Linked DNA regions of Sus scrofa. The protein of the gene in region 1 interacts with the protein of each later gene in a biochemical or structural test. Links are inferred from orthologs where the notes say so. Each region holds a gene or a part of one and is shown on either strand. Other genes may lie near its edges. The genes, in order: SMAD3, TFE3, NEDD4, MECOM, TGFBR1, ZFYVE9 and SMURF2.

The links.
Region 2: the proteins of SMAD3 (region 1) and TFE3 form a complex in vitro, tested with the Homo sapiens proteins (2 studies listed by BioGRID). The link is inferred for Sus scrofa from reciprocal best matches to the Homo sapiens genes SMAD3 and TFE3.
Region 3: the proteins of SMAD3 (region 1) and NEDD4 interact in a test that uses a peptide from one of them, tested with the Homo sapiens proteins (3 studies listed by BioGRID and IntAct, with this or other methods). The link is inferred for Sus scrofa from reciprocal best matches to the Homo sapiens genes SMAD3 and NEDD4.
Region 4: the proteins of SMAD3 (region 1) and MECOM form a complex in vitro, tested with the Homo sapiens proteins (2 studies listed by BioGRID). The link is inferred for Sus scrofa from reciprocal best matches to the Homo sapiens genes SMAD3 and MECOM.
Region 5: the proteins of SMAD3 (region 1) and TGFBR1 form a complex in vitro, tested with the Homo sapiens proteins (2 studies listed by BioGRID, with this or other methods). The link is inferred for Sus scrofa from reciprocal best matches to the Homo sapiens genes SMAD3 and TGFBR1.
Region 6: the proteins of SMAD3 (region 1) and ZFYVE9 form a complex in vitro, tested with the Homo sapiens proteins (2 studies listed by BioGRID and IntAct, with this or other methods). The link is inferred for Sus scrofa from reciprocal best matches to the Homo sapiens genes SMAD3 and ZFYVE9.
Region 7: the proteins of SMAD3 (region 1) and SMURF2 form a complex in vitro, tested with the Homo sapiens proteins (2 studies listed by BioGRID and IntAct, with this or other methods). The link is inferred for Sus scrofa from reciprocal best matches to the Homo sapiens genes SMAD3 and SMURF2.

The regions. Positions count from the first base shown.
Region 1 is NC_010443.5:165,109,957-165,113,456, reverse strand, and holds part of SMAD3 (mothers against decapentaplegic homolog 3), read right to left. Parts: intron 1,715-3,500; coding exon 1,502-1,714; intron 1-1,501. UniProt on the Homo sapiens protein: Receptor-regulated SMAD (R-SMAD) that is an intracellular signal transducer and transcriptional modulator activated by TGF-beta (transforming growth factor) and activin type 1 receptor kinases.
Region 2 is NC_010461.5:43,113,578-43,117,700, forward strand, and holds the start of TFE3 (transcription factor E3), read right to left. Parts: upstream 2,801-4,123; 5' UTR 2,497-2,800; coding exon 2,381-2,496; intron 90-2,380; coding exon 1-89. UniProt on the Homo sapiens protein: Transcription factor that acts as a master regulator of lysosomal biogenesis and immune response.
Region 3 is NC_010443.5:115,988,730-115,993,006, reverse strand, and holds the start of NEDD4 (E3 ubiquitin-protein ligase NEDD4), read right to left. Parts: upstream 2,801-4,277; 5' UTR 326-2,800; coding exon 1-325. UniProt on the Homo sapiens protein: E3 ubiquitin-protein ligase which accepts ubiquitin from an E2 ubiquitin-conjugating enzyme in the form of a thioester and then directly transfers the ubiquitin to targeted substrates. Specifically ubiquitinates 'Lys-63' in target proteins.
Region 4 is NC_010455.5:108,333,335-108,337,395, reverse strand, and holds the start of MECOM (MDS1 and EVI1 complex locus protein EVI1), read left to right. Parts: upstream 1-1,261; 5' UTR 1,262-1,892; coding exon 1,893-1,929; exon of another isoform or gene 1,930-1,932; intron 1,933-4,061.
Region 5 is NC_010443.5:240,858,635-240,862,885, reverse strand, and holds the start of TGFBR1 (TGF-beta receptor type-1), read right to left. Parts: upstream 2,801-4,251; 5' UTR 2,786-2,800; coding exon 2,563-2,785; intron 1-2,562. UniProt on the Homo sapiens protein: Transmembrane serine/threonine kinase forming with the TGF-beta type II serine/threonine kinase receptor, TGFBR2, the non-promiscuous receptor for the TGF-beta cytokines TGFB1, TGFB2 and TGFB3.
Region 6 is NC_010448.4:159,882,476-159,885,975, reverse strand, and holds part of ZFYVE9 (zinc finger FYVE domain-containing protein 9), read left to right. Parts: intron 1-125; coding exon 126-206; intron 207-2,892; coding exon 2,893-3,055; intron 3,056-3,500. UniProt on the Homo sapiens protein: Early endosomal protein that functions to recruit SMAD2/SMAD3 to intracellular membranes and to the TGF-beta receptor.
Region 7 is NC_010454.4:14,473,183-14,476,682, forward strand, and holds part of SMURF2 (E3 ubiquitin-protein ligase SMURF2), read left to right. Parts: intron 1-2,301; coding exon 2,302-2,416; intron 2,417-3,500. UniProt on the Homo sapiens protein: E3 ubiquitin-protein ligase which accepts ubiquitin from an E2 ubiquitin-conjugating enzyme in the form of a thioester and then directly transfers the ubiquitin to targeted substrates.

The DNA.
Region 1 (3,500 bases):
AGTGAGCTAAGGATCTGGTGTTGCCGTGAGCTGTGGTGTAGGTCAGATGCGGCTCACATCTGGCATGGCTGTGGTGACAGGCCAGTGGCTACAGCTCTGATTTGACTCCTAGCCTGGGAACTTCCATATGCCATGGGTGCGCCCCCTCCCAAAAAAATGATCAGGAGGCAGAGGCACAGGTGGAAAGACCCAGACCCAAAGGACAAAAACATTTGTTCTCGTTTTGATAATTTCTGACATATTTTAAATAGAGAAAAGTGTAAAGTGAGTGAGTAAACACCTGTGTATGCCATCTAGGATCTTTTAAAAAGTAAAACAAATGGGGAGGCTGTCTGGGAAGGATGAAGGCTCAGCAGCAGGGACTCTTTGCCACTGACTGTGTCACACTTGCTGTGTGGCCTCTGCCCTTCCCTGCCTGTCCGTCAGGGTCTTCCCTGGAACATGAGCACCCTGGCCCAGGCCTGTGGCTTCCAAACTTGTCTTAACTGTAAAATCCTCTCTCCGAATGAATCATCTCTGAAGGCCCAAGATATAATACAAACAAGAGCAGGGCTGCTCTGGGTCATGTGGCCCACTGCCCTACCTGGCTCCCGAGTTTGCCCTGGAGCCCCTTTGGCCACCCTGGGCACATGGAGCAATGTTTCAGAATACCAACCATCTCCATACCATCCCCATGGCTCTTGTAGGTGACTCTGGATCACAACATTGGGAATACTCTTAGCATGATTTTATGAGCAAATAAAGCAACACAGCAAGGCTTCAATCTTCCCTAAACTAAGTGGGCTTTACCGCACGCTGGGTGCTGGAAGACAGAGTGGCAGCAGCAGTGGTACCCAGCAGTGGGCAATACTTGCCTCTCTACCTCTTCTAAGTTCCTAGGATAATCCTGTGTGAAATGAACAAACCAAAGATCATCTTTCCAGGACTATCTACTTACCCACTTATCAGTACTTTAAGGGTATTTCTTTTTTTTTTTTTTTTTGGTCTTTTTAAGGCTGCACCCTCTGCATCCCAGGCTAGGGGGCTCGAATCAGAGCTGTAACCACTGGCCTATGCCACAGTCACAGCCACGCCAGATCCGAGCTGCGTCTGCAACCTACACCATAGCTCACGGCAACTCCAGATCCTTAATCCACTGAGTGAGGCCAGGGATTGAACCTGAGTCCTCAAGGATCCTAGTCGGGTTTGTTAACCACTGAACCACAACGGGTACTCCCCCTTAAGGGTATTTTTATTAAGGAGAATTACACAGTTGCCTTTTTCCAGAAAGTCCAGCATCTTCCCTTGTGGCTTTCAAAGTTTCAAAGATGATATCTGTCTCTGGGTGAGAATGATCAAGCAACCTGAACTCTACCTGTCTGGCCCCTGAATAAGGTGACAGAGAGCTTTTGGGGGAGGGGTGGAGGTGGGGGAGGCCCAGCACAGTGGTGGCGGATTCTGGAGGGGTCTGTGCTGGGCTGGGGATCTGGGGTGTCGTGGGGGAAACTCGACCGCCCCTCACCGATGTGCCTCCGTGTCAGCTCCACAGCCGCATTCCTGTTGACATTGGAGAGCAGCCCCAGGCAGAAGCGCTCCGAGTTGGAGGGGTCGGTGAAGCCGTCCACGGTCATGGACGGTTGCGAGGCGTGGAATGTCTCCCCGACGCGCTGGTTGAGCTCGTAGTAGGAGATGGAGCACCAGAAGGCCGGCTCGCAGTAGGTGACGGGCTGCAGGTCTGAGGAGACAGGCCAGCCCCTGGGTCAGTGGCGCCCCAGGCCCCGTGCCCCTGGACGGGGTCTGCCGGCTGCTCTGGAAGACTGTTCCCCACCTCTCAGAGGGCATTATAATCTCCCCACCCTCGTACCTTTTACTGGATAAAACCTGCAGGAGCAGCCAGCGGGACAAAATACTCAGGTGGCAGGAGAAGCACTTTTCATTTAGCTTTAGCTTCCAAAGGCCCTGCCCCGCCTGGCCTGGCCTCAGGTTGAAGCCGTCTTCAGGGAGGTGCTAGGCCAAGCCCCTGGACAGACACACTGGACAGGCTGGGTGTGCCTATCGCGGGCAGGCCACGCCACCTGCCTCTCTTCCTAGGTCCCCGAGGTAACCCATGCTGATCTCCGCCCCTCCAAAGCTAACTCCTGTCGAGCAGCAGCATCCAAGCCTGTGAAACGATAAGGCTGCTGCAGCCCTGGGGTCTGCGCTGCGCTTGGTGTCCAAGACCACACAGGCGCCAGGCACCATCTGCAGAGTAAACCCGGTTCCTGCCTCTTGTTATAGAAACTATCCTCCAAGTGTATCCAGATGTTGAGCAACCAGGAGGCTAACACACAAACTCACCTAAAAGAAACTCTGAACTTCTAGAGGTCATCCTGTGGTCTCAGTCAAGGGCACCTCAGAGTAACTGCCGTCCTGGGAGGGGGCAGTTCTGTTTCTCAGAAGAGGTGGGAACTCCTGAAGTAGAGGTTTCCCCTCACACGAAGCCACACCTCCCTTTCCAGGGACGCCCTAGCCTTCCTGTCACCTCCAGTTGTTCTGGGCTCCACACCTGCCCAGGTACCCCTGCCTGTCTCTGTGTCACTTCTCACCTCAGGGTCCCTCCTCGTCATTCTTCACTTGCACTAGTGCCACGGCCCTCTGACAGGGCTCCCCAGCACCCAGCCCAGCCCTTCCAGCTTCTTCTCTGCCCTGTCCTGCTCCCGGGGCCACGTCCTTCCCCTGTGCCTCCTCGAATCCCCCTATTTGTTGGTGAATCAGAGTCTGCTGCTCTCATTCTGGTCTTAGCCCTCTGGCCTGCACCACGTACTCTGGCTCTTACATATACATAGAGAGTTGCGTATATGGTTACTCAGGCGTGTCTCTGGAAGCTGGTGAGAGGATGGGAGAGCTCGCCATGCCAAGTCAGCACTGGCCCGAGACCCGTGTCACCGCCGGCCAGGCAACTTCCTAGAGCGAGAACCCATGAGAACTTAAGCTCAGCTCACCAGACCTCACAAAGTGTATAAAAGCCCAGGAAAGAATAAAGCAGAAGCTATTCCAGGAGGGGCCTGGGTTCCCCTGCAGGGCAAAATGGCCCTGATCTCCTTCTGGGGTCTACGCCCATGATCCCATCTAAGAGCAAAGAGAAGGCTGGCTCACAGGGGAAGGGCTGCGGACCGGTGACACCCCTGCACTCAACATGCTGTGAAGAGTTGGCTGGAGGGTGAGGGCACTTGGATCAGGTCTCGGCCTTGGCAAATTTGGGGCACGATAATTCTTTCCTTGGGTGGGGGGATCCTGCGTGCTCTGGGATGTGCAACAGCAGCATCCTAAGCCTCTGCCTACTTGATGCCAGCAACATACATCCATCTCACCCTCCCAGCTGTGACTGTAAGAAACTTCTCCAGACACTGAGAGACGTCTTCTGGGGGCAAAATAGGCCGCAGTTGAAAATCACTGTCCTGGGTGTTTGACCAGCTCAGGGAGCACAAGCTTCAAGGCTGGACAGACTTGTGTTCACATTCGGCTTTGGCACGGACCTGCTG
Region 2 (4,123 bases), on another chromosome or scaffold:
TTTTGAGCTCGTAGAAGCTGTCAGGATCGAGGATGTTTTCTAATTCGATGTCAGCAACAATCCCGGATTCCGGAAGCAAAGAATTCAGGCTGAGGGTGGGGGGAAGGCAGGGGTGTTGGTCAGTGATTGTATGGAGATGTCATTGCCCCGAGAGACAGAGACAGGAGAGGAGAGAAGAGACGAGAGAAGAGACAGGATGAGACCAGGAGGGAGAACAGAGCGTATCCCTCACATTTGGCCACTCTGCTGAAACCACCACCATGAATCCCCATGTCGTCTCCCCTCCCCACTCTCTTTTGCTCTGTGTTACCCACAGGTCCTTAAGATTCAAAATAATAAGAGCGCCTGGGTCCCAGCGCCCCGCTCTAACAATCCCGTGTACAACCTGGGTTTCAGGAGAAGAGAAATGAAGAATTTAGGAGTGACGATTCACTTTGCGGGACTCCTGACTTTGCATTCAGAGTTCTCCCAGCCCCCACACTCCCCACTGCTTTCGTGGCTGCGGAATGCGAGCCCACGGGGGTCCACAGATGCAGTAGGAGAGCACCCCTTGGCAGAACAGTCCATTGTGACACAAAGTGAACTGGGGAGGCTGATTCACTTTACAGAGGATCCACTACTTTGCAAATAAGTCTCTCCCCCCACCAACCCCGCCCCAGTCGGAGTTCGAGGGATGCCAACATCCAACCAAAAAAAAAAAAAAAGAAAGAAATGGAAATAATAAAGACTCCCCTAGGCTCAACGATCTGGATTTACAAGAGGGAGAACTGGAGTGGAGGATCACTTTGTAGGAACATTCTTCTCTAGGTCAGAGGAGCCTGCCCAGCGCTCTCCTGGTTTTTTGGATAAATCGCAACACAAACACACCTTCCATACCAACACCCACAAGCACCCAAAATAATAAGCCAGGTACACCCCTCCCTTTCAACTATTCCCACCACTATCATGATCCAGGTCGTTATAAAAGCAGTAGGAGATGATGGTAAATTGTTATGATGGAAAGGCTCCTGGCTCAACCCTCCATGCCAGCTGCAAGACCCTAAAGTGTGAGGGCCACTAACATGGGGGCACATGGACATGCATCCCTGAATTTTGTCAGAAGATCTTGAATCCTCAGACTGTGGTTGACTTCACTTGACAAGAATTCTTGCCCCTCCCCAAGGATCTGTCTTCCTTTCTTTCTTCACCCACAGATGGGGCCCTAAAACCACCCAGGAAGTCGGGAAGAGGAAGCTCGGGGAGCTGCTGAGCTAGGCACAATCCCAGCCAGAAAGTAGGCAAAGCCCCCCTCCCATGCTCTCATCCTGGAAGCGGTGGGCACTAGACTGAGAGGGCTGGGGCTTACAGGCCTGTTGATAGAAGTGAGGCTGAGAGGTCAGAGAAGAACTACCCAGCCAGGGATGGTGCAATTGGTGCTCATTCCAGCTCTGGGGTCAGATTCAAGATTGTCTCCAGGGCCTGAGAGACAGACAAGGAGGGCGAGATAAAAAAAAAAAAAAGTACCTGTGTCTGAGTGTGTGTGTGTGTGTGTGTAGGGGGTGAAAAGGGCTGGCTGAGAGGCTAGGGCAGGTGGCCTCAGGAACAAGATCCTCCTCTGGGTTCCCCAATAAGGTCTGATGAGGCCTTCAATGAGTTAAGTGTTAGCACCACCTCCATTGCCTGTCTGTCTGACTGACTCCCATTCAAGCCCCTGTTGAGGGTGTGAGAAGAGGACTTTCCCACTATCCCTTGGATCTGACCCAGCTGGACGGGTGGGCAAGTGGAGGGATTATTCTGATCAAGTCTTGATGAATGTTGCTTTTCTTGTGCACTCGCACACACTCCCAAGGCTGGTCCCACGCAGCATATCTGAGATAGCCCCAAATCCCTTCAGAGTCAAGTTTCCCCAAACACAGCCTCCAGCAACCAGCCACTGGGAGTCACCAAGCTCCTGAGACAGCACCTCTGACTCCTAGGACCCTCTCTCTGAGGGGAAAAGAAGCCTTAAAATCAGTACCTCACTTACAGAGTGGCCCCTTAAATTCATTCTCCTCATACCTGACTCAAGAATCCCAAATTCAACCTCTAATCAGAGTCTCAGTCCCTGAAGTTCAGCGACGTTAGACCAGTTTGTGGACACAACAGAATCAGTCCCTCTAGACCCAGTCAAGGGCCCCCCAAATCTGAACAAGGCCTCTCTTAATGTACTTCCACGACTCCTTTAAGCCTCAGTCCAAGCAGGCCACCGCCAGATTCCTTAGGTGCCCCCCCCAAGTCGGGCGCCCCGACGTCCTCCAAGCCTAGGCCAAGGGCCTCCGATCACAGTCCTGGGCCCCCGCTGCCCCCAGATCAGGCCCCCGGGAACCCCAGTCAGCACTACCGGTCCCAGGCGGCCCCGCACCTGAGCAGCTGGGCCGAGTCGGCCGGCCTGCGCTCCTCCAACAGCACGAACACGGCTCGAGGGCCCTCCGCGCTGGCCTCTACGCCGTCCCGAGCTGGCTCGGCCGCATGAGACATGACGCCCGGCCCCGGGCGAGCCCTGCCAGGCCGGTCGGGCCTCGGCCCGGTCCCCCCAACAAAATAAGAGTCCCCCTCCCCCGCTCGCCACCGCCTCCTCCGCTAAGCCATGGAGCGAGCTCTGCGCCGGCGGGCGGCGTCGGGGAGATGGGATGGGCCGTGAGTCATCCCCCGCCCTAAACGGACCGACACCCCCCCCAACCTAACCCCGGACGACCGCCTTCCTCCCCCTCGTCCTCTTCCCCCTCCTCCCTGGGCTGGGGAAACTCCACAGGAAGTGACCGCATGATGGATAGACAGCTCGCCGGGCCACGCCCTCTGGGTGAGACGACCAATCGTCGAGGGATGTTTCAAGGGCCCGCCCTAAGCTACGCCTCCGAAGCCAAAAGAAGACTAGATTCGGCAGGCCCTTTTTCCGAGAAGGGGGCACCTAGGCCACGCCCTCAGAGAGAGGCAAATCAATGAGAGGTAATTTGATTGAGTCACGCCTCTTCTTCTCAAATTATCCCTCCGCAAGATAGTAAGCCGCTCCTTAGGGCCTCTGCGCCTGCGTACTGAAGCCCGGTCGGCGCGCGGAGGCTCTCCAGGCTACGCTTCTAGCTGCGGAATCGCGCCCTCTCTCGGCCAGCATTCGTAATATCCACTCTCCAGACCGCGCTCCAACCTTGATCTAGCGGTGCCTGCTAAGCCAAAGCCTAAGCCTTGAGGCCTAGGCAGCTACGTTCCCTTGAATTGCGCACCAGAAACCCTGCCCTCTCGGTACCTACAGTCCAGCGATCCAGCTGGTCTTCCAGGAAGCGCTCCGTCTGCTCTTTGTTGTTCAGAGCGGTTGTTGTACTAGGTCGTTGTGCTACACTGTAGGTGCTTAGTAAAATCCTTGACGGATGGCTGAATGAGTGGAAAGATGGACATTAGATCCGCTCCCTTCGGTGGATGACTTCTGTTGTTATACAGAACTGGGTTTGGATATGGACAAGGGACTTACCCTCTCGGAGCCTCAGCTTTCTTGGCCGTCAAATGGGGGTCTTAATACCTGTCTGGCGACATTTTTATAGGGAGTAGAAGTAATTTATGAATAGTGCTAGCAGATTTTTTGGTATACAATAACCTCTCCAAAAATTCATTGATTCAGGAGTTCCCATCGTGGCGCAGCGGAAACGAATCCAACTAGGAACCACGAGGTTTCGGGTTTGATCCCTGGCCTCGCTCAGTGGGTTAAGGATCCGGTGTTGCGGTGAGCGTGGTGTGGGTCGCTGACGCCCCCCGGATCTGGCGTTGCTGTGGTTGTGGCGGAGGCCGGCAGCTGTAGCTCCAATTAGACCCCTAGCCTGGGAACCTCCATATGCCTCGGGTGCGGCCCTAAAAAGACAAAAATAAAAAAATTGATTCACTCATTTGTGCACTGGTACAGCAAACATTGATTGAGCTCCTCTGTGTGCTAAATGTATGCAAGTTGGCTTGCACACAGCGGAGGGTCCCACTCACACCTTCAGGTGCACAGTCAACTCACAAAACACCAGGACCAACAACCTTCCCTAAATTCTTCCCAGCATCCCAAGACCATGCCCATCAGTTGCACCACTGGGAACTTCACTGAACTTCCATTTGCCTTGTACCTTTCTGTATT
Region 3 (4,277 bases), about 49 Mb from region 1:
TGCCAGCTAAGACATGGCTAGACTGAAGACATCCACTGTACCTTGTTGGCTGGAGTGAAATCTGCAGACAGCTGCTCTTTTTATTAACATTTTCAGGTGAAGGAACAGATGATCTTTCCTGAGACTTAACGTTTTCCTTTATTAACGGAGCTAGTGCAGTTTGTCTGGGAGTCAGCTTCATTTGAACCACGTTAGAGGTTGAAATCCGTGTTGGTCTTGTGAAGCACATGTGAATACTGCTATCCAAATCATCTCCAGAGGTTTCTGACAAAGGGTAAGTATTGCTTCTTCTGGCTGCAAAGTGCAATCGTAAGCTTTGTGCCATTTGTTCTCATTTCCAAACATGTTAAGGGCTGAAAGTCATAACAAAGATCTCTGTCGGTAGACAGGCTAGAAGCAGCTGCACTGCATCGAAAGAAAAAATCATTTGTGGTGCCTAAAAGAGCTCGTAAGTAGTGGTCTTTATCCTGAGTAAAACCTTAGAGACCAGATATCGTAGAAAGAAAAAGACGGCCCATTCCCGAGACTGACGACTGACGTTTCCAAAATGTCTTGAATCGCTTGTAGTCAAAATGCCTTCACTTACAAAGCACTTGATTTCCAGCGACCTTTAAGCTGAGCTCAGCTGCAGCACACTGCCTCAAACACTGCCAACCTTGTTTCAATTATACCTTCTCCAATTTGCATGAATGAGTAACACAAGAACAACAATCTTCTAGCATTTCAAGTTGAAACAGTATTTTTCACTCCAGCTCTACTAAATGAACATTTAACTATGTGAATCACGGTGCCTATACTTTCTCCAGCAGTTTGACCACTAATATTTTTACCCATAGGGATAGAATTACAGGAAGTTGGTAGGAATGAAACCCCATGTAATTGAGTATCAAATCAAGGATTGAATTTCCAAATAGTGGTCATACTGGAATCTAGTCAACTTAGTAAATGTAGAAAGGAATATAGACTGTTAATTTTTTTTAAATGAGTAAGTTCAAACAGTTGTATAAACTGGGAAATATCAAAACTGAGGTGAATTAAAAATTTAGCATTAAATCAAATAGATACATATTTTAGCTTCTAAAACACGATGTACTTATAAAAAGTGAAAGCTTAAGGATCGAAATACAAAATTAGCCTAGTAATCTATTGCAAAAATTGAGCATACATCTGAGAAAAAAAAAATTTTGAGAGAAGCTGTCACCAAGCATTTTCTCCTGTAATTTTAAGGCCTTTTCAGCCAAGCAGTACAGTCTTTAAATGATGCCATTTATATTTGGACTATTAAAACTCTGCCAAGAAATAGGCTAAGAAAACATTCCATTAAAAATATATGCAGATTAGACAGAAAAACTATACCCCAATATAGTTTGAGCACACAAGATATTTTATTCCACTGTCTCTGCAATTCATTCACTTAAGAGAGTGTTGTGGTAAGTAAAGAAGTCTAAAAAGGATTTAACACATCAAATAAACATATCTCAATGCCAATTCTGTTGCGAAAAACTCTAGGAGCTCTTTGCTGGCCCCTACTGGTGCACTGAAACAATTCATTTAGTTGTTTGATACCTATAAAGAAGTACAAACCATGTCGCATATTTCTTTATATAAACAAAGTACATACTTGTTTACATTTTTGAGCACTAGCACTGCCCTAGAGGCAGAATTACTTACTACTGCTGATAAAGCTCCCACAGGAGAGAACAGTAGACTGTCTGTCCTTTCAGAGGTTGCAATTTTGTATATGTATTTTTTTCTGCTTCGTATTTATTTAACCTTTACTTTATTTTCAGTTTACTAGGTAATAAAAGTTTAATATTTTAATTTCTCCCCTAAATGTCATAGACCAAGGTTGGTATTCTGTTTGAAAGAAACAAATTTATTTTTAAATAATGCTCTAGGGTATATTTAAACCCCTTACCTGAATTTTACAGCTGGAACTCCAGTAATAAATATATACTGGCTCATTCATAGGAAAGTAAAAAGCAAAATAGTTCAGTTGTTTACACCACATGGTACTACACCCAAGTTGTATTTTTCTAAGTAAGTTTTTTTTCCCTAAGTGAAAGCAAATATGTAAAACATATACTCACACTTTGTTTAAAAAAGAAAACTCAAGATAGATCTGTTCTCAATCACAATTTTCTAAACACTGTTTTTAATCAATTAAGGCAGGACAAAATAGAAATATGGAATTTACTAAATTCTATTTCTGACTAGAATGAGATAGTACTGTTTTAGAATGTGTATAATTATAAATTTAATAATAAAATTATTATGCTATTTTGGTTTTGCATAACCTATTTCCTTTATGATATTACAGGCTTCAGTACATATTCTCTTAAAATCTTTCTTTTTTTTACCAGAAGGGAGAGTCCTAATCTTTTCACTATGCCTTCAAATAATTCCAGCTTTCCTTCTTGAATTAAGTTAGGGATTTGAGGACTCAAAAGATGAATCACTTCTAATAAGCTAATCAATGAGATCTAACTGCTAGTGCCTGTGGCTTAAAACTTCCAGTTATTAAGGAAATCCCCTTTAGTTGTTACTATAAAATAATGAATAAATAATGATAAATGTTTTCTCTTTGGTAAGCTTCACTGTTAAGTATCAGTTTCACCTAACTAGATTTTAAGCTTCCAGAGGGTGAGGACAACAACTAAACATTTCTTATTTCCTCTGATCCACCTGAACTCATGCTGGGTACAAAGTAAACAGTAGGTAACACCAGAGAGGAGGTTGGATATATGGTGGATGTAGCCAATCCAGCTTCTATTTCCTTTTTTTTTTTTTTTTTTTTTTTTTAATTAACAGCTGCAACTAGCATATGGAAATTCCTGGGTTAGGGGTCAAATCCAAGCTGCAACTGCGGGCCTATGCCACAGACACGGCAATACCAAATCCAAGCCACATCTGTGACCTATGCTGCAGCTTGCGGCAATGCTGGACCCTTAACCCACTGAGCGAGGCCAGGGATCGAAACCCACATCCTAACGGACACTATGTCAGGTTCTTAACCCACTGAGCCAAAATGGGAACTCCCCAAGCTAATACTTCTAAAGAGGTATCAAAAATACTGCAGCTGGACAAAAAGAAGGATGCTCGAAAATTTTGCAAAGAGGGCTTTAGCCAAAGGGAAACAAAGGTAAGAGAATCAAATGCACTTCCTAGCACTCTAGTCTGAGTTTAAATGCTAGTGAGGCTGAATGGTTTGCATTACTGGCTCTGGTCTGGGACTGCACAGGATCTGTGCCACTTTTATAACAGAACCTGGGAAACACGGGGTAAAATGTAGCCCCTGGGGCAAACAGATGCCAAAAGTGGAGCATCAACCCTAACCTCAAGGAGAGGAGAGCTGGAGAGTGGTAGCAGGCTTCATCTGGGAGGAATCTGTGCAAATCCTATAGAATTTCATATTCTGGAGTGAAACGGATAATGTCTTCAGATTAGACTGGATATGTTGACTTGGCTTAGCTATTTTGCCCAGTTATTAGTCCAAACACCTAACTAGATGTTGCTGTGAAGCTATTGTTAAGGTATGATTAACTTTTAAATCAGTAAATTCTGAATAAAGCAGAATGCCCTCCATAATGTGATGGACTTCATCCAATCAGTTAAAGGCCTTATGCGCAAAGACAGGCTTCCCAAGGCAGCAATTCTGCCTAAAGGCTGTATCACAGAAGCCTTGCCTGAGTTTCCAGCCTGCTGCCCTGCAGATTTCAGATGCATTAACCCTTGCCTGAATATCCAACCTGCCAGCAGGGCCTCTTCAGACTTTCCATCTTCCATTATCACGTAAACCAATTCCTTAAAATAAATCAACACTCGCCTCATTACCTCGCTCCCTCCCCCTTTCTCAGGTGTGTGGGTGTGTGTCCTATTGGTTCTGTTTCTTTGGAAAACCTTGACTAATACAACCACTCAGCCTGAGAAGCAGAACATCGCCACCTGGAAAATGGAATATAAGCATCTCCTAAAGCTTCAGAGGCTGGATGTGTGCAGATGCAGCTCTTGGGTTGTGGCAAAGAAGCCCTAACTTTCGCATTAGTGGATAGAATTCATTTAAAGGCATATTATTCTTCAATGTCCCATGGCCATCAACACCAACACCACCATCACCAAACTATGACAGTTATAACCCCCAGGTTCTTAAAACTGGTTGACAAAAAAGGAATATAAGCCTACTCTTTCTTGAAGCAAATATCACTTATATTGAAAGCATTTTCCAGATGACTAGAAATTCATTCTCCTTTAAGTTTATCTATGCTCATCACCATATA
Region 4 (4,061 bases), on another chromosome or scaffold:
TCCCCCTCCCCCTTTTTCCCTCTTTAGTCCAGAGGTGATGATAGAGTTCTCTGGTGCCCATGTGTACCGGCACCAGAACCCTCTCTTTTAAAGTTGTTTTTACTCCTGCTCTGTGTAATTCCTTCCTTTGCTTTCCTCTGCCACCCCACTTCCCTTCCTCACAATTCAGCATTACACATCTGTCTCCCTTGGGACCTGTAGTTTGGTTCTCCAGGGACCTGTATCTTAGAGCCAAATGCCCCTGGAATTACACAGAGAAAGAGAAGTGGTGGGCATCCTTGCCAAGGTGAATCTTTTGAACTTTAATTTCCTGTAATAAAGATATTTGTGAGCCACTACTCTTTGGAATTGAACCTTGCTATTTGCTCACTCACATCCCCAGTCCTAGTTTTGACAATAAATGACAACAGGTTACAACTGGGGATTCTCAGTTATCTTCCTTATTCTTCTCTGCCTTTGCCAAATTCATGCCCAGGACCTGCTATTCTTTTCTCTCCTTTAACTTGAACATCAAGGATGTACTGTTGCAGCACAGAGACAAAAAGATTGTAATTTTCTTTTATGGTGTTTGGCAGGATTTGCAACAGATATTAATGGGGACATAAATAGCTCACAGAGGGTATTGAACAAAACTGTTTAATGCAAGGAGGTTGTACCAAGAGAAAATCCATAGTAGTTGGGATTGATTCATACCTTGAACACAGCTAGTTCCTTTTAAGAGGTCCCCATTTCTGCATGCCCACTTCATTGGTAAATCCTGTAATTAAAGCAAATTTCAACAATGTATTTTTTAAGAGGTAGGGGGAAATCCCTCCCACACCTCCTTCCTATAACCCGGGAGGTCGTGGGTTTAAGCGAGTGAGTGAAATGGCAGGCAGGCTGAACTGCTGCAGGAGGCTACTCCGCAGCGGTATGGGAGGCCGGAAGGTGACAGCCGACCTCAGAGAAGACAGGAGGTCTTGGTTGTCAAACGCCCAAGCCGTCTCGGACCTGGGAGCCAAAGGTCATTATCACTACTTGGTAGGAAAAGACCAACTGATATGTCCCAAGGATGGCAGAAAGAATTGGCATTATACCTAAAATCAAGAAAGAAACAGTTATTTATTCAGCTTTCAACTCTGAAAGCAGAAGCCGAAATAGCTTCAGCAGCAGTAGCAGCGGCAGCAGATTCCCGATGTTCAGGATGATTCTCACTTTCTCCTGGATCGTTCGCCCGAGGAGTCCGGTCCTTCTAGTTCTTTAGTGTGGGAAAGATTTTTAAAAGCCCTCTCCCCTCCCCCCACTTCTTGCTTTCCCCCAAGGACAGAATAGAAAATTTCCTTCAATTTATGGTGGGAAAAAATAATAGTAATGGTACAGGCTTATGGGTGATTCCAATACGAAATCAATCCTCTGCCCGAGTCTTCGCGTTCCTTTTTGGGGGAGGGGGGGGCTAGATGTCTGCTCCCTTCTGACTCCCTGAGCTCGCTCCCCGCCCCCCGTCGCCCTCCCCGTGGCTCCCTTTCTCCGCCTCCTCAGCGATTGCCATCTGACAAGATCTCCAAATCAAAGTGATAAATCGCTCCAAACTTTTTTTGGCGGCGCTGAGATGTTGGAGGGGCGTCTAGCGCGCATGTGCGAAGGTGTCCAAACTGACAATGCTGGAGAGATAGCGAGTGTGGATTGAGAGAAAGGGAGAGAGGGAGGGAGAGAGAGTGAAAGAGGGGAAGACAGAGAGTGAGTGTGTAAGTGTGTGTGTGTGTGTGTGTGCGTGTGTGTGTGTGTGAGAGAGAGAGAGAGAGAGAGAGAGAGAGAGAGAGACGAGAGGGAGGGAGCGAGAGAGCAAAAGAAGGAAAAGATCCAAGAAAAAAAAACCCCAACCACACACCAGCGGCTGCAGGACTGGGCACAGCATGAGATCCAAAGGCAGGGCAAGGAAACTGGCCACAAGTAGGTGCAATATCCCTTTTCTATTGGCTTTCCCCCTCTCTGCCATCTTGCATATCTGTCTCCAGCGCTCCGGGAGGGAGCGCGGGGCTTCCTCTCGTGTCGGGGCCCCGGGTGGAGGGCAGGCGCAGCGCAGACCCTGCAACCTGCCGGTCCCAGCCTCCACGCCCGGCCGCCCGCGCTCTGGCTCCTTGTTTGGGCGCCAGAGGAGCCGGGGCAGCCCTCAAGCCCGCAGCACTGACCAGCTGTGGCAACCCCGGGGTGGGGGTGGGGGTGGGGGCAGCAAAGACCTTGTGGGAGGGAGGAGAGAGCGCAAGAGCGAGCGGGAAGGGGTGGGGTGGGGGTGGGGGAGAGGAGATGCAAGAGTCTCCCCCTCCCCTCCTCTTCCCCCCAGGCGGAGGAGAGTTGCCTCTGGCCAACCAGCTAGTCCCGGGTGTGGGAGGGGGAGCAGCGGGGTGGGGGGGGGGCGGCGCGGGCTGGGGACTGGAGCCTTTTCGCGCCTCGGTTTGTGTTCGGGGTCTGGGGTGGGTGGCAGGCTCGGAGGGAGCCACAGTGGCGGCGGCGGCGGCGGCGGCGGGCAGCAGTGGTGGAGTTGGGAAAAGTTGCGAGGCGGCCGCTGGAAGTTGCGCGGGCTGGCGGGCTGCGCCGAGCGGCGGTTGCGGTAGTGGGCGCTGTGCGCTCGGCCGTGCTCTCTGGCGTGCGCGGCGCGGCGGGAGGGCTGGGGTGGGGAGTGGGGGAGACGAGGGTGGAGGCTGTAGTCGCTGTGTGTGTGTGTGTGTGTGTGTGTGTGTGTGTGTGTGTGTGTTTTGGGGGGGGGCGCGGGCAGAGCAGAGCTACCGGCTCTGCAAAGCCGCGGGCAGGTGGGGAGAGAAGAGGCCCTGGGAGCGCCTGCTGAACGGGGAGTAGAGGGCGCGTAGCCAGAGGCGACGGCGGCCGAGGAGAAGGGGGCCGAAACGGCGCGCTTCGGCCCTATAGTTTCAGGCTGGCTGGGCGCCGAGTGACCCGCAGGGGGCGGGCTGCGGGCTCCCTGGGCAGCCGAGAGGGTACGGCGAAGCCTGCTGACCTGCTTCTGGTTGCAGCCAGGGTCTCGAGTCACTAACCCTCCCCGGCGCCCCCTGCCTGCCGGCGTGGAGCGGCCTAGGTCACGCGGGACGAGGGCGATTGAGTTCGGGGCGGGGGTGGCGGGACTCCCATCCCCCACTTTGCTCGCTTCAATGTTGGGTAACTTCGCACTGCGATGTCCGCGGGGCCGGTACTGACGGGGAAGGCAAGAGTCTCAGCCTGGACTGTAGGCGACGGGACTGGGTTTGTCCAAATGCATCTACCTCGAATCTAAGGGTACTCAGAGGTGCCGAGACCCGGGGCAATCCTGAGCAGTCGGAAGCTCTCCTCCGCAAGGTGTCAGCATGCGGGCCTGGAGCAGCCTCAGAAAGGGACCGGCTGCCGTTTGTTCTCCTCGCAGAAAACAGAACTCTCTAATTGTTTTGCTTTTGGACCAGAGAAAGGAGAGATGGGGTGGGTGGGATGCTTCTTCCCAGTGAACTCCCCAGTCTTCCGCACTCCTACATATTAAAACCAAGTATGCCTCACTCCTTCCAGCCTCTGGTGTCTCCGCCGCAGCCGCGCGGGAGGACAGCGGCACCTTGGCGGGCTTGGTTTCTTTGGCGGTGAGACTCCGAGGTCTAGCCCTGTGAGATGCTGTCATCGTAAGGCGTCTTTCCAGTGCTTCGCCCAGTCCTCACCCAAGCACTCCCTCACTCCCAAGTACTTTTCCTTTCACTCTGGCCTCAAGGATCAACCTGTATATAGTGCTCTTGGGTCATCAGTCCATTTATTTCTCTTTTGGATATTGTTCATTTCGCTTAGCTGAGACAGTGCCAAAGTGCGCCAGTGGTACTCCTGTTTTTCCTGTTTGCTTTTAAATGAGGCCGATGTCTTTATTTTCATTTGAGGAAGAATACATGTACATACGCTTGGAAGTCTGGGGGCTTCAATTCCAACTGACGATTAGGCGCGCGCGCGCGTGCGTGTGTGTGTGTGTGTGTGTGTTTGGGGGGTGGGGCGGGGGTCGGAGAGACAATTTCAAACTCTGCCTAAGTTGTGAAATGAAAGCCGAACGCTTTGCGCGCCTCATT
Region 5 (4,251 bases), about 76 Mb from region 1:
GTGAGATCTCTGGGTACTAAGTGATGGCCCTAATCATAAGCCTCAAGTACTGCTCTAAGCACTGAGTACAAATGGGAAATCCTGTAAACCCTTTGAGAGGATGGCTAAGGAAGATTAGCTTGGCAGCAGCCTATAAGCGAGAGAAATACTGAAAAGCAAATGGATTTGGGGGTAGGGAAAAGAGGCAGGACTAAACTGACAGCTGAATCCAATGAGGGGAAGAAACATTCAAGAAGCATTAATGTAAAGAAGAGCTGAGTTTCAGGTATATTTTCAAAGAAAACATTATGAAAGAGCACACTCACATGGGTACATAAGCAGACATACTGGTAACTAAACTGTGCACCAATGACAAGGAACCAATTTCCCTAGAGAAATTTATGTTGGAGAGAGAAGCTGGGCAAAGAAATACAAAACTGATAACCTGGACAATGAGGGAACAACTACAAACTCTTAGAAAGGAGTTTAAAATTACAAATTTTAAAAAACATCTGAGAAGTTCCCACTTTGGCACAGTGGGTTAAGGATCCAGCATTGCTGCAGCTACAGTTCAGATTTGATCCACTGCCTGGGAACTTCGATATGCCATGGATATGATTGCAAAAGGAAAAAAAATTAAAAATAAATGAATAAAAAGACCTGAGCTTCTTCAGAATGTATGAAAGGATAAATGGAAACATCAGCGTAACCTACCAGGGCAGGCAGACCAGTTGAGATAGTCTAGACTTAAGGATGATAGCACCTGGATCAGCTTTGTCTTGTCTGCATGCCAGTGTAGTCTATTAACTCCTCCAGGGCACAGACTAAGCCATGCTCTGTACATTAATGAAGTCCAATATTGTTACTTGAATATAGGAACACTCTGTGTGCTAAGCTAGGTGGAAAAGAGTGAACTGTGTTATTCGAGTTAATTTTATGCTTGATGCATATCTATATTGATTCTCCCACCTGTCTTGACCCCCTTCTCAGGCCAATGTCAAAAATTCACTGTTTCCTCTAATGAAGGCCAGGTGTGAAAGGACTCCAAAAATGTACTAGGAGCCAGAAAAAAGCCAGCCTGTTTTTCTAATTATGAGGGCAAAATCTAAAAGTGAATAATAAAAATCAATTATTCATTAGAGGACTAAAAAAGAAAAATGGGCTTCGCCAGACAGTTAAGTGTGTATCTTAAAACGTATAGGTTTTGCAAACACTGAACCCTTGGTACAAATCCTAACTCCAGCTCTTAGTAATTGATACTTAACCCTCTCCACACCTCAGTTTTCTCATCTATAAAATGGGGCAAATGCCACTGGGCCCTGAGGGATGTGAGGATTAGATAGTACACTTTTGGTGTACCTTATGCACCTATACCACAGTAAGTCTTCTTTAGACAGCTGCTTATAGTAATATCTGGCACCCTAAGTACTGAGTTTTTTTGTTTCAAAAGCATTTGCTGTTCAGTTACAGAAAGAGAAACTTATTTTAGTTGCTTATACTAAGGCTCTATATTTCAGTTTCTAGTATTATAGTTGGGATGCTAACAAAGTTTTTCACTCCTCCCTCCACGGGGTAGATGATGACCATATACCCTTTCCCAATTTATATTTTGGAAAATGCAGCAAACATTCTCCCTTGAAAACCAGCTATACAGACAACTGATGAAAACTACCGTCACTCAAGAAATGCAACATCTCTAGAGATGTCCTTCGAGGAAATAAAACGTGTGATCAACTCAGTCATTTCCATTCAAACATTCCAAACCCCGCAGAGTGAGCAAACGTTCAAGTTTCTACTACGAAACAATTTGTAGCCTTCTGGTTAGTGGATTCACTTCAACACTTCCCCAGACGCACGAAAAGAAGAAACATTCCGCACATCTCAGTGCCTCCTTGTCCTCAAACAAAGCTTCGCAGCACCTCCCATTCCAAAGCCACCCCTGGATGAGGAAGCAGCCCCTCTCGGCTGGGTCAGACCGGCGCCGAAGGCCAGGGAGGCCTGCTGACCCGAGGGTCTCTGCTGACTCGGGGGTCACACGTCGCGCCCTCCCACTGCTGGAGGAGGCCCTGGAGACTTGGAGCTCACACTCCGCCCTGGAAGCCCCCTCCGCCCCCAACCCCGCCCGGGCCCCCGGAGCCTGAAGCACCTAACAGCTCTGGGTGCGGTGCCCGGGACAACGCCACACAGCGACTAGCGGGGACTCGGGGCAGCCCCAGCTCTCCAAGTCCAGGAGAGCCTCGCACCCTGGGGCCCTCGGCCTGCGCCCACTCGCTTCCCAGAGGGCAGCCCCCAACCCTGGACGGCTCCGCCCGACGCTACCTCCCTCAGAGTCTGCAGCTCGGGCGGCCGCGGGCTGCCGGGCACGTCCGCCCGCGCTAGAACCCACGCCCTCGCCCCGCCTCGGCCTCCCGCCCGCGGCTCGCGTGGCGGCAGCCAGGCACTTAAAGTCCGGCCTCCGCCCGGGCGCCGCCACCTGCGCCCCCGGCCCCGCGCCATGTTTGAGAAAGAGAAGGAGCGAGCCAGAGGCCGGGCCCGGCCGGCGCGCCCCGCAGCCACCGCCAGCTCCGCCGCGCCGCCGCTCACCCGTCGCCTCCGGGACCAGCGTGGCCGTCGCCGCCAGCACGAAGAGGAGCAGCCGGGAACGCGAGCACCGGCCGCCACCTCCATGGTCCCGCCGCCACTGCCTGTGGCCCGGCCCGGCCCGGCCGCCGCCTCGCCTCAACAAGCTTCGCCTCGCCCCACCTCCCCCGCCGCCGAGGCGGCCTCGCTCCGGCCCTTTGTAACTGCTTGGGGGCCGCGCGACCATTGGCTGTCGGGCTCCCGCCGGCCCCGCCTCCCCGCCGTCTGCAAGCGGCCAAGCGGGACCTACCCAGGAGCACCGCCCACAGGCCCGCTGGGCAGCCAATCCAGAGCCGCAGGCTTCCGCTCACTGGTCACGCCCCCAAACTCCCGGGGGGCCGGGCAGCCAGACCCCTGCCCCAGCAGGAGCAGCTCCGAGTTCCGTGGAGGCCGGGTGGGGGCAGGGTCTAGCCCAGACGCTGCCGAGGCTCCCGCCTTCAAGGGCTAAGGGCTAAGAGCTAAGGGCTGAGCGATGGGTGTGTCTGGGTATGAGTTGCTTTCGGAAAAAGGCTGTGGCTGCTCGACGCTTTTTTCTCCTAGCCTCTTTTCTTCTCACCTAAGATGTGGTACTAAGCCCGACCCCAGTTCACAGCCCTGCACCATCAATTCCCCACATTCATCCAGATCCTTAGTACCATCAGGCAGGCTTCAACTTCCCCTCCCCATATCCACGTCTCAACTTTCAAAATCCCCGCCCCACGATGCTGCTTCAGTGCCTTTCGTATATTACCCAGTCTACTGTTTCCTCCCGCTGTCACATCCACCCAAAACCTAGATACCCACCCCAAAATTCTAGGCCCAGAAAGTCTCCAAATCCTGGCCTCAGACCTCAGATCCTGAGCTCAGACACACCCCCAAACTGCCTCCCGCCCCTCTCCGGAACTCAGAGCCGACCCAGACTGGGCTCCAAACCACACTCCTTTCCCCTTCCCCCTTCCTGATTCTGCGGGGCAAGGGAAGAGCCTCATCCCTATGCCCAAAGGAGAGGGATTCCTGTTCTTAGCACGCAGCACCCCCGGGGCGGAGGAGGAGCAGTCATTAGTTTGAGCTGCCTCTGACACGCCTGCACAATAATTCTGAGGTGTCACTAGAAACCCAAATAAACTCGGCTACGTTTTCATTCTGAATTCCTAATTTACTGTGAGACGCTCCACCCACCTTCCCTCTGGGACGCCAAAATGAGCTCCAGATTTGTAATTCTTCCCGTCAGACTAGTCCTCTCTTCAGACACAAACACAACCGAGAAGGCTGTTACACAGAACAGAGAACATTTTTCCACAGAACCTTTTAAGGAGAAAATTTTATTTTCTGTGTGATTTGAACTTGGAATTAAATAAACCTTGGTAGCAGGACTCAGAACCAGCCTCTAGTATTGATTTGTAATTACTCTAGCGATACTCCGTGAGTATTTTACAAGCCTGTGAAGACTTCCCTCCTGAGCAGTAAAGAGGCAGGGTAGGGGTGTTGAAGCTGAGATCTGAGACTGGCACTATTCCCATTCTGGCTTGAGCAACTCAGTTAACTCAGTTAACCTTTCTGAGCCTCCACTTCTTCATCTATACAAAATGGAAATAGTATCAATCTTCCAAAGTTAGTGAGAGGATATATTAAGATTTAGGACTCCCTCTTTTCCCCCTTCAAATTCTACTTCTA
Region 6 (3,500 bases), on another chromosome or scaffold:
GTCAGTGTTTTTTATTTTCTATATGATGGTGGTTGGAGTTCCCAGCTACCAGATACTTCATTATTATTCTCAATCCCTCCATCTCCAAGTCTTTGTTCACTAAACTCTTTCCATTGCTATTTTAGTGACTGGTGCCAGTTTCTTTGTGTTCAGTGGCGCTCTGAAGTCCTCGTCGGGATATCTTGCCAAGTCCAGCATTGTGGAAGGTAACGAATGAGTTACTGCATGTACCTTATACAGTCGTAATTATACAAGGGTCATGAATGGAAGCCTTGACACTTTGGCGTTAGACTTCTGACTCGTTTATTCAGTAGCATCTCACTCAACAGGTAGTTAAAACTACCACAAGGGTGCCTTCTCTCCAGAGAAGGAAATAAGTGGGAGAAATACCATGGGACACCAACATAAAAATTAAGAGATGGCTTTTCAGAGAAAGACAAAATACCATGTGATGTCACTTCTATCTGGAGTCTAATATGTGGCACAAATGAACCTTTCCATAAAAAAGAAAATCATGGACTTGGAGAATAGACTTGTGGCTGCCAAGGGGGAGGGAGAGGGAGTTGGGTGGATGGGGAGCTTGGGGTTAATATATGCAGACTATTGCCTTTGGAATGGATTAGCAATGAGATCCTGCTGTGTAGCACTGGGAACTATGTCTGGTCACTTATGGAGCATGATAATGTGAGAAAAAAGAATGTGTACATGCATGTGTGACTGGGTCACCTTGCTGAACAGTAGAAAATTAACAGAACACTGTAAACCAGCTATAATGGAAAAAAAATAAAAATCATTCTATAAAAACAACAAAAAAAAAAAGAAAGAAAAGAAAAAGAGAGAGAGAAAGAGATAGCTTTTCAGAGCTAAGGTACCCAAGGGGACGTAGTCTGAGTTCAAATATATCATTGGGTGCGAATCTGTAAATATGCAGATGAATTTCAGCCCCTGTTATCCATGAGAATGCTGCAGTCACCATTTGGTGTACAGAATGATGCATTTGCTGCTGGTTTGCTATAATTAGATAGGACACATATCCTGACAAAAGTTAGTTTAATGAAAATCAGTGAAAGGCTAATGGGCATACTATTTATTGTCTTTGTCAATTATTCTTCACTGTATTTTGGTCTGGTTACTCTTGGTGCATAACAAATTAAACCAAAATTTAATGGCTTAAAACAGCTATTTTACTGTGCTCACTGATTCTTCTGCATCTGCCCTTGACAGGGCAATATAGGGATGGCTTGACCCTGCTCAGTGATGTCTGGGGACTCAGTTGGAATGCCTGAAGGGTGGTTGTTACCTGATGGCTGAGAGCTAGAATTATCTTAAAGTTTGTTGACTTATGTATCTGGAGCCTGTCCTGGGATGATTTAAAGACCAAAAGTAGTCCCTGGAGTCCTTGCACACTGGACTCCTTAGCATGCAGCTTTGGGATGGTTGGACTTCTTACACGGTGGCTCGGGACTCCAAGCACAAGTGTCCAGCACAAGGTAGAAGCCTCGTTGCTTTTTATGACCCAAACTCAAAAGTCCTACAGTGTCACTTCCACCATACTCTAGTGTTGGAAGTGGTCAAAAGCCTGCTCAAGGGCTGAGGACTTACTCTTTCTCGATGGGGAAATGGGAAAGTAGCATTGTAGGAAAGCACGTGAGACAGGAGGTATTGTGGTCGTCTCCGGAAAATACAATCCGTACCCGCAGTGACAGGTTTTCATTTCCACGTGAGCTCACTCCAGCACCTGAAGAGCAGTTCTTCTGAGGGTGGATTTCATTGTGTTCATTGAAATACATAGATAATCTTGTGTATGTTAATAGAGATTGATTTTGATCTCCTTTTTTGGTAAACTTAATAAAGCTGAAAGCGAAGAACAAAGCATGCTAATATTTCACAACTAAATGTCACAACTGCAGAGCAGAACATGCTATTAAGAAATTGTTAGGAAATCTAGGTGTTAAGTAGTTGTTTGGTCTTAGCGACTAATTAATGCCTGTGTGATCAAGTATTGACTGCATTTGAAATCTATCCTGACAAGATGATTAAAAAGCACCCTTTAAATGTTGTCAAAGTGATGATTCAAATGGACACAGATCCTTACAAATGCAGAGTAATTATATTTTAAAATTATGTCTTCGGGTTAGGAATTTCTTAGCTCTTATGTTTCACTAAATGTGCCAGTAGAGCACTTGGTTGCCCATTTATGAAAATTTTAGTCATGCTCTTCAGAAATTATTTCACCTGACAAAATTTTGTATTAACAAAGCAGGTTAATTGCTCAGCATGTGACAACTTTCACCCTCAGTTTTCAGTGTTTGCCTTTGACTTGGGTATGTAGCAGCCCCTAACAGTTATAATCTGTTGGCTATATGATAGCCCAGGTAAAACGTATGTGTAGGTTGGTCTTACTGTTAGTCAGTACATGAATTTATTCTCCTTCCCAGTGATTTATTTAACAAACACTGGGCATTCACTGTATGCAATCATAGGACAGTGGGAGAGACAGAAATGCAAAGAAATAGATATGATTAGAGCATGATAAATGTCACCGTGGAAGCAGGAACAGAATGCTCTCTCTGAGTCCAGAAGAGGGATGTGACTGTGCGTAAGTTTTCCCTTTGAACAGTCTCACGAGAAGCTCTCAGTTGTGCCTGAAGTGAAATCCATAGGTAGGAGTTTTAAGCAGACTCCATCTTGGCCTTTGCGCTTTGTAACACGTTCAGCCAGTAAGAGGTTCAGCTCAAAGAGCAAAACGTCTTTGCATCTGTCAGCTTTAGAGGGCAGAGCAGAGTTTTACATTAACCCTAGAGGGATTTGCTCGATGCCAGGAAGGGGTTTTGTCTCCCCTCCCTGGCTGTGCCTTGCTCCCACCTGTGTTATCTCGGTGCTGCTTCTCAGACGGCGTCATGGTCCAGATCACTGCGGAGAACATGGATGCCTTGCGGCAGGCTCTGCGGGAGATGAAGGACTTCACCATCACCTGCGGCAAGGCGGATGCTGAGGACCCCCAGGAGCACATCCTCATCCAGTGGGTGGATGACGACAAGGACGTCAACAAGGGGTAAAGCGCTGAGCTTCCCCGCTGCGGCACTTCCTTCTGGGCCAGGCTCTGGGTTTTGGCCATCCTGATGTTTTATAACTTTACTGAAAGCCCTGCCTACAAGAAAGGACGGCTTTGTACAATTTGCACATGGAATTTGTATTTCTGGTTTCTTGGCTTAATTTCTTTTCTTCTTTTCTTTTCTTTTTTTTTTTTTTTTTTCCAGGGCTGCACTTGAAACATATGGAAGTTCCCAGGCTAGGGGTCGAACTGGAGCTACAGCTTTGGCCTATGCCACAGCCACGGCAACACCAAATCCTTAACCCACTGAACAAAGCTAGGGATTGAAGCTGCATCCTCATGGATACCCATTGGGCTCCTAACCTGTTGAGCCACAACGGGAATTCCTCTTGACTTAATTTCTAAAGCAGTTTTGGTACATGTTTTTGAAGGGAGGATGAAGGAA
Region 7 (3,500 bases), on another chromosome or scaffold:
TGCTAATGAGGTTAGGATGGTACTGCTGCCAGAAGAGTGCTTGTGATCTCCCCCGTGGACCGGGCAGTCCACTGAGACTTTCTCTGAAAACTCGTTGCAACCCTCTGGGGACTGTTTGTAGGCCCTGCAGGCCAGGACTTTTCTCCTTCTCTCTTCTTCAGTACATGTTATCCCCTCTGCTTTACATTGTCAGGAACAATCTTGAGATTTTAATGGTGTGTATTCTGCTGTTTTCCTTTGCTTTCATTGCCATACTTTTTAACTTTGGTAAAGGAATGTTTGTAAGTATGTGTATGTATGCGTGTGTATCGTAAATTGTCCTTAGAATGTTTCAATACAGAAGCTGTAATGTTTATGCTATGTGCATCATCAAGTTTTTTTTTTTCAAGGAGTGAGAATTCACTTTATATAAATGCGGCAGAAACACCATAGCTTCTGAATTGAAACATTTCAAGGACTATCATGATAAATTCCACTTCCCCTGTTCTAAATCCAACCTAAATTAATTTGGGTTTCCACCAAGCCCCATAATTCTTATTTAATTAGCATTACTTGTTTTCACCATAGACTTACTTTCCTTCTGTGACCATTTTACCTACAAATGGATAGTTTGGATTTTTAGAACTGATCATTTGTACATCATACTTGAGGCTTGATAGTTTCTGTGGAATGCTTATGATTTGCTTTTAACTAGATTTTGAATGCTTGTTGGGAAAACTTTTTAATTTTCTGCTGATGGAAACTAAATGCTGTAATTACACGTGTAGGTCAAATAAGTAGTTTAGTTGTTTGTTTATTTCTTAACCTCACTGCTCTCAGGGTTTGGGCAGACAAATGGGATGTGGCAATGAACTCTGCTTTTTCTGATCTTTGGTAGTAGAACACAAAAGTAATTGAGCTTTGCTTTTATGCATGTTTTAAAGACTTAGCAAAACAAAACAAAAATTTGGATTTTATTTTAAAAAACGCATACATAAAAAGCGTAAGACACATCAGGTGAGAAGAAAAGGACTTCACTTTTTTCTTTTTAATTTCTAGAGTTTTTAAGTATTAAATGGTAGTGAATTGATTTCAGCTCAACCAAATGATAGAACTTTGAAATGGTTTCCTTTAACATCTTGTTAATGGTGTTTCACTGCATTTCCTAGGAAAAGTTACTCTGTTTAATCCATAATATCAGAATATATTACTTAAGTACCTTTCCTAGCTGAGGAATGACGGGAATTGAGACTAGAACAATACCTCCTTAAGTATTGGACTAGTAATTTTATTTCAGTTTCACCAAGATGAATAACAAATTATCTGATTCTTTGAAAAGTCTAAGTGATTTAATAAGCTTAAGGTGATAGTACTGTTTACTGTCAGGTTGTAAAAACACTGGTATATACTTGGAACCCAGAAGTGGTAAGCAGCATACCCAGAAAACACAGGCTTGCCCTTGTGTTCCCACCTTTCAGTTTCTCACCACTTACACTTTTATCATGGTATGCTTCAGGGTTTACACAGATACTGGAAATGGATAGTGGAATTTTCTTACTAAAACAATACCAACAGTAAAATGTAACCTTGTCCAAAAGTGAGAATAAATTATTATGTTGTATCTCTAAGTCTGCCATGATAGGAACAGACCAGAATGATACAGATCACATGATTGTTTTGAAATAAAACCGTATTCTTCCCTTCAGCTTACATTTATCATGGATTACAAATCTGACTTGCAATTAAAAGTAGCAGATCACTGGACTGCAGCATCTAATGAACAGTTGGTACTTCTGGATATTATCCTTGTATTCTGTGATGTTAAAATGTCATAAGGAGTTCCTGTTGTGGCTCAGCAGGTTAAGAACCGACTAGGATGCATGAGGATGAGGGTTCAATCCTGGCCTTGCTCAGTGGGTTAAGGATTCAGGGTTGCTGCAATTTCAGGCATAGGTTGCAAATGTGGCTTGAATCTGGCGTTGGCTGTGGCTGTGGTGTAGGCTGGCAGCTGCAGCTCCAATTCAACCCCTCGCCTGGGAACCTCCATATGCCTTGGGTGCAACCCTAAAAAGACCAAAAAAAAAAAAAAAAAAGTCATAAAATTACCCCAAATTGAGTGAGAAGTGACTGCAGTATGACAAAAGAAGAGTTTTCATTTGCTTTTTGGACATGGTAGACTTTTCTAATGTGACCTTGTATAACTAGTTAGTGCTTTATTTTCTTGTATTAAAAAATTCTGTTAACATGATTAATTAATAGCATATCTTAGTAAAAGTACATTCATTAACAAAACAAATTCCTTTGACATATCTTGTTTTTTAGGGAGTGGTTATATCTCTTGTCACATGAAATGTTGAATCCTTACTACGGCCTCTTCCAGTATTCAAGAGATGATATCTATACATTGCAGATCAATCCTGATTCTGCAGTTAATCCGGTATGATTGTGGTTATGATGATATGGATTACCTTGTGAACTACAGTGTTTTTCATCTTTAAGTGTCAGTGAAGTTTATGAAATAGGTTTACTGTCCTGTCCAAGTCACGTCCTTGGACTAGGCAAGTCCACTGTAAGAAATTTTCTCAAGTAAAAATTTTCTGATGTGCAGTAGTTTGGGCACAGGGGTGTTTACTACATCACTGTTTATAGTAGCCCTTAATTGGAGGTAATATTGTTGTCCATAAATGGAGATTGATTAAATTACAGCATGAAGCAGAATATGATAGTAATAGTTAAGAGCATCAAATCTGGAATTAGAAAGACATGAGATCATATCCTGGCCCCATTGCTAACTCGCTTTGTGACCGTAGGCAGATTCACCTGATTGAAGTCTCAGTTTTATTATTGCTAATAATTACATGGTTCGTACCTAGGAGAAGGTTGCGACAGTTAAATGAGACCCTGCACATTAAGTATTTCGCACATCAGCAACCCTATTACATATTATAAAGCATTCAACAAGAGTTAGCAGCTGTTATTAATTTGTTGTTTTCATATTATTTTTATTACCTTCTCATACAAGTACATGTTATACAGCCACTGAAGTGATGTTGTGGGATAATAGTTAATGACATATAAAGATGGTATTTGTAATATATTAAGTGAAAAGAAGATTATAAAATAGTATGATGCAGTTTTGGTAAACACGTATATGTGTAAACATTGAAAGGTTCTACACTACATATTGATGGAGCTTATCTCTGAGTGTTGGTCTCTGGGTTTTTTTAAATTTTTTATTTTATATTGGAGTATAGTTGGTTTACAATGTTGTATTTTATTTTATTATTTATTTATTTTTTTTGTCTTTTTGCCTTTTTCTTGGGCCACTTCCTATGGCATATGGTGATTCCCAGGCTGGGGGTGGAATTGGAGCTGTAGCCACCGGCCTACTCCAGAGCCACAGCAATGCTGGATCCAAGCCGTGTCTGCGACCCACACCACAGCTCATGACAACGCTGCATCCTTAACCCACTGAGCAAGGGCAGGGATCGAACCCGCAACCTCATAGTTCCCAGTCGGAT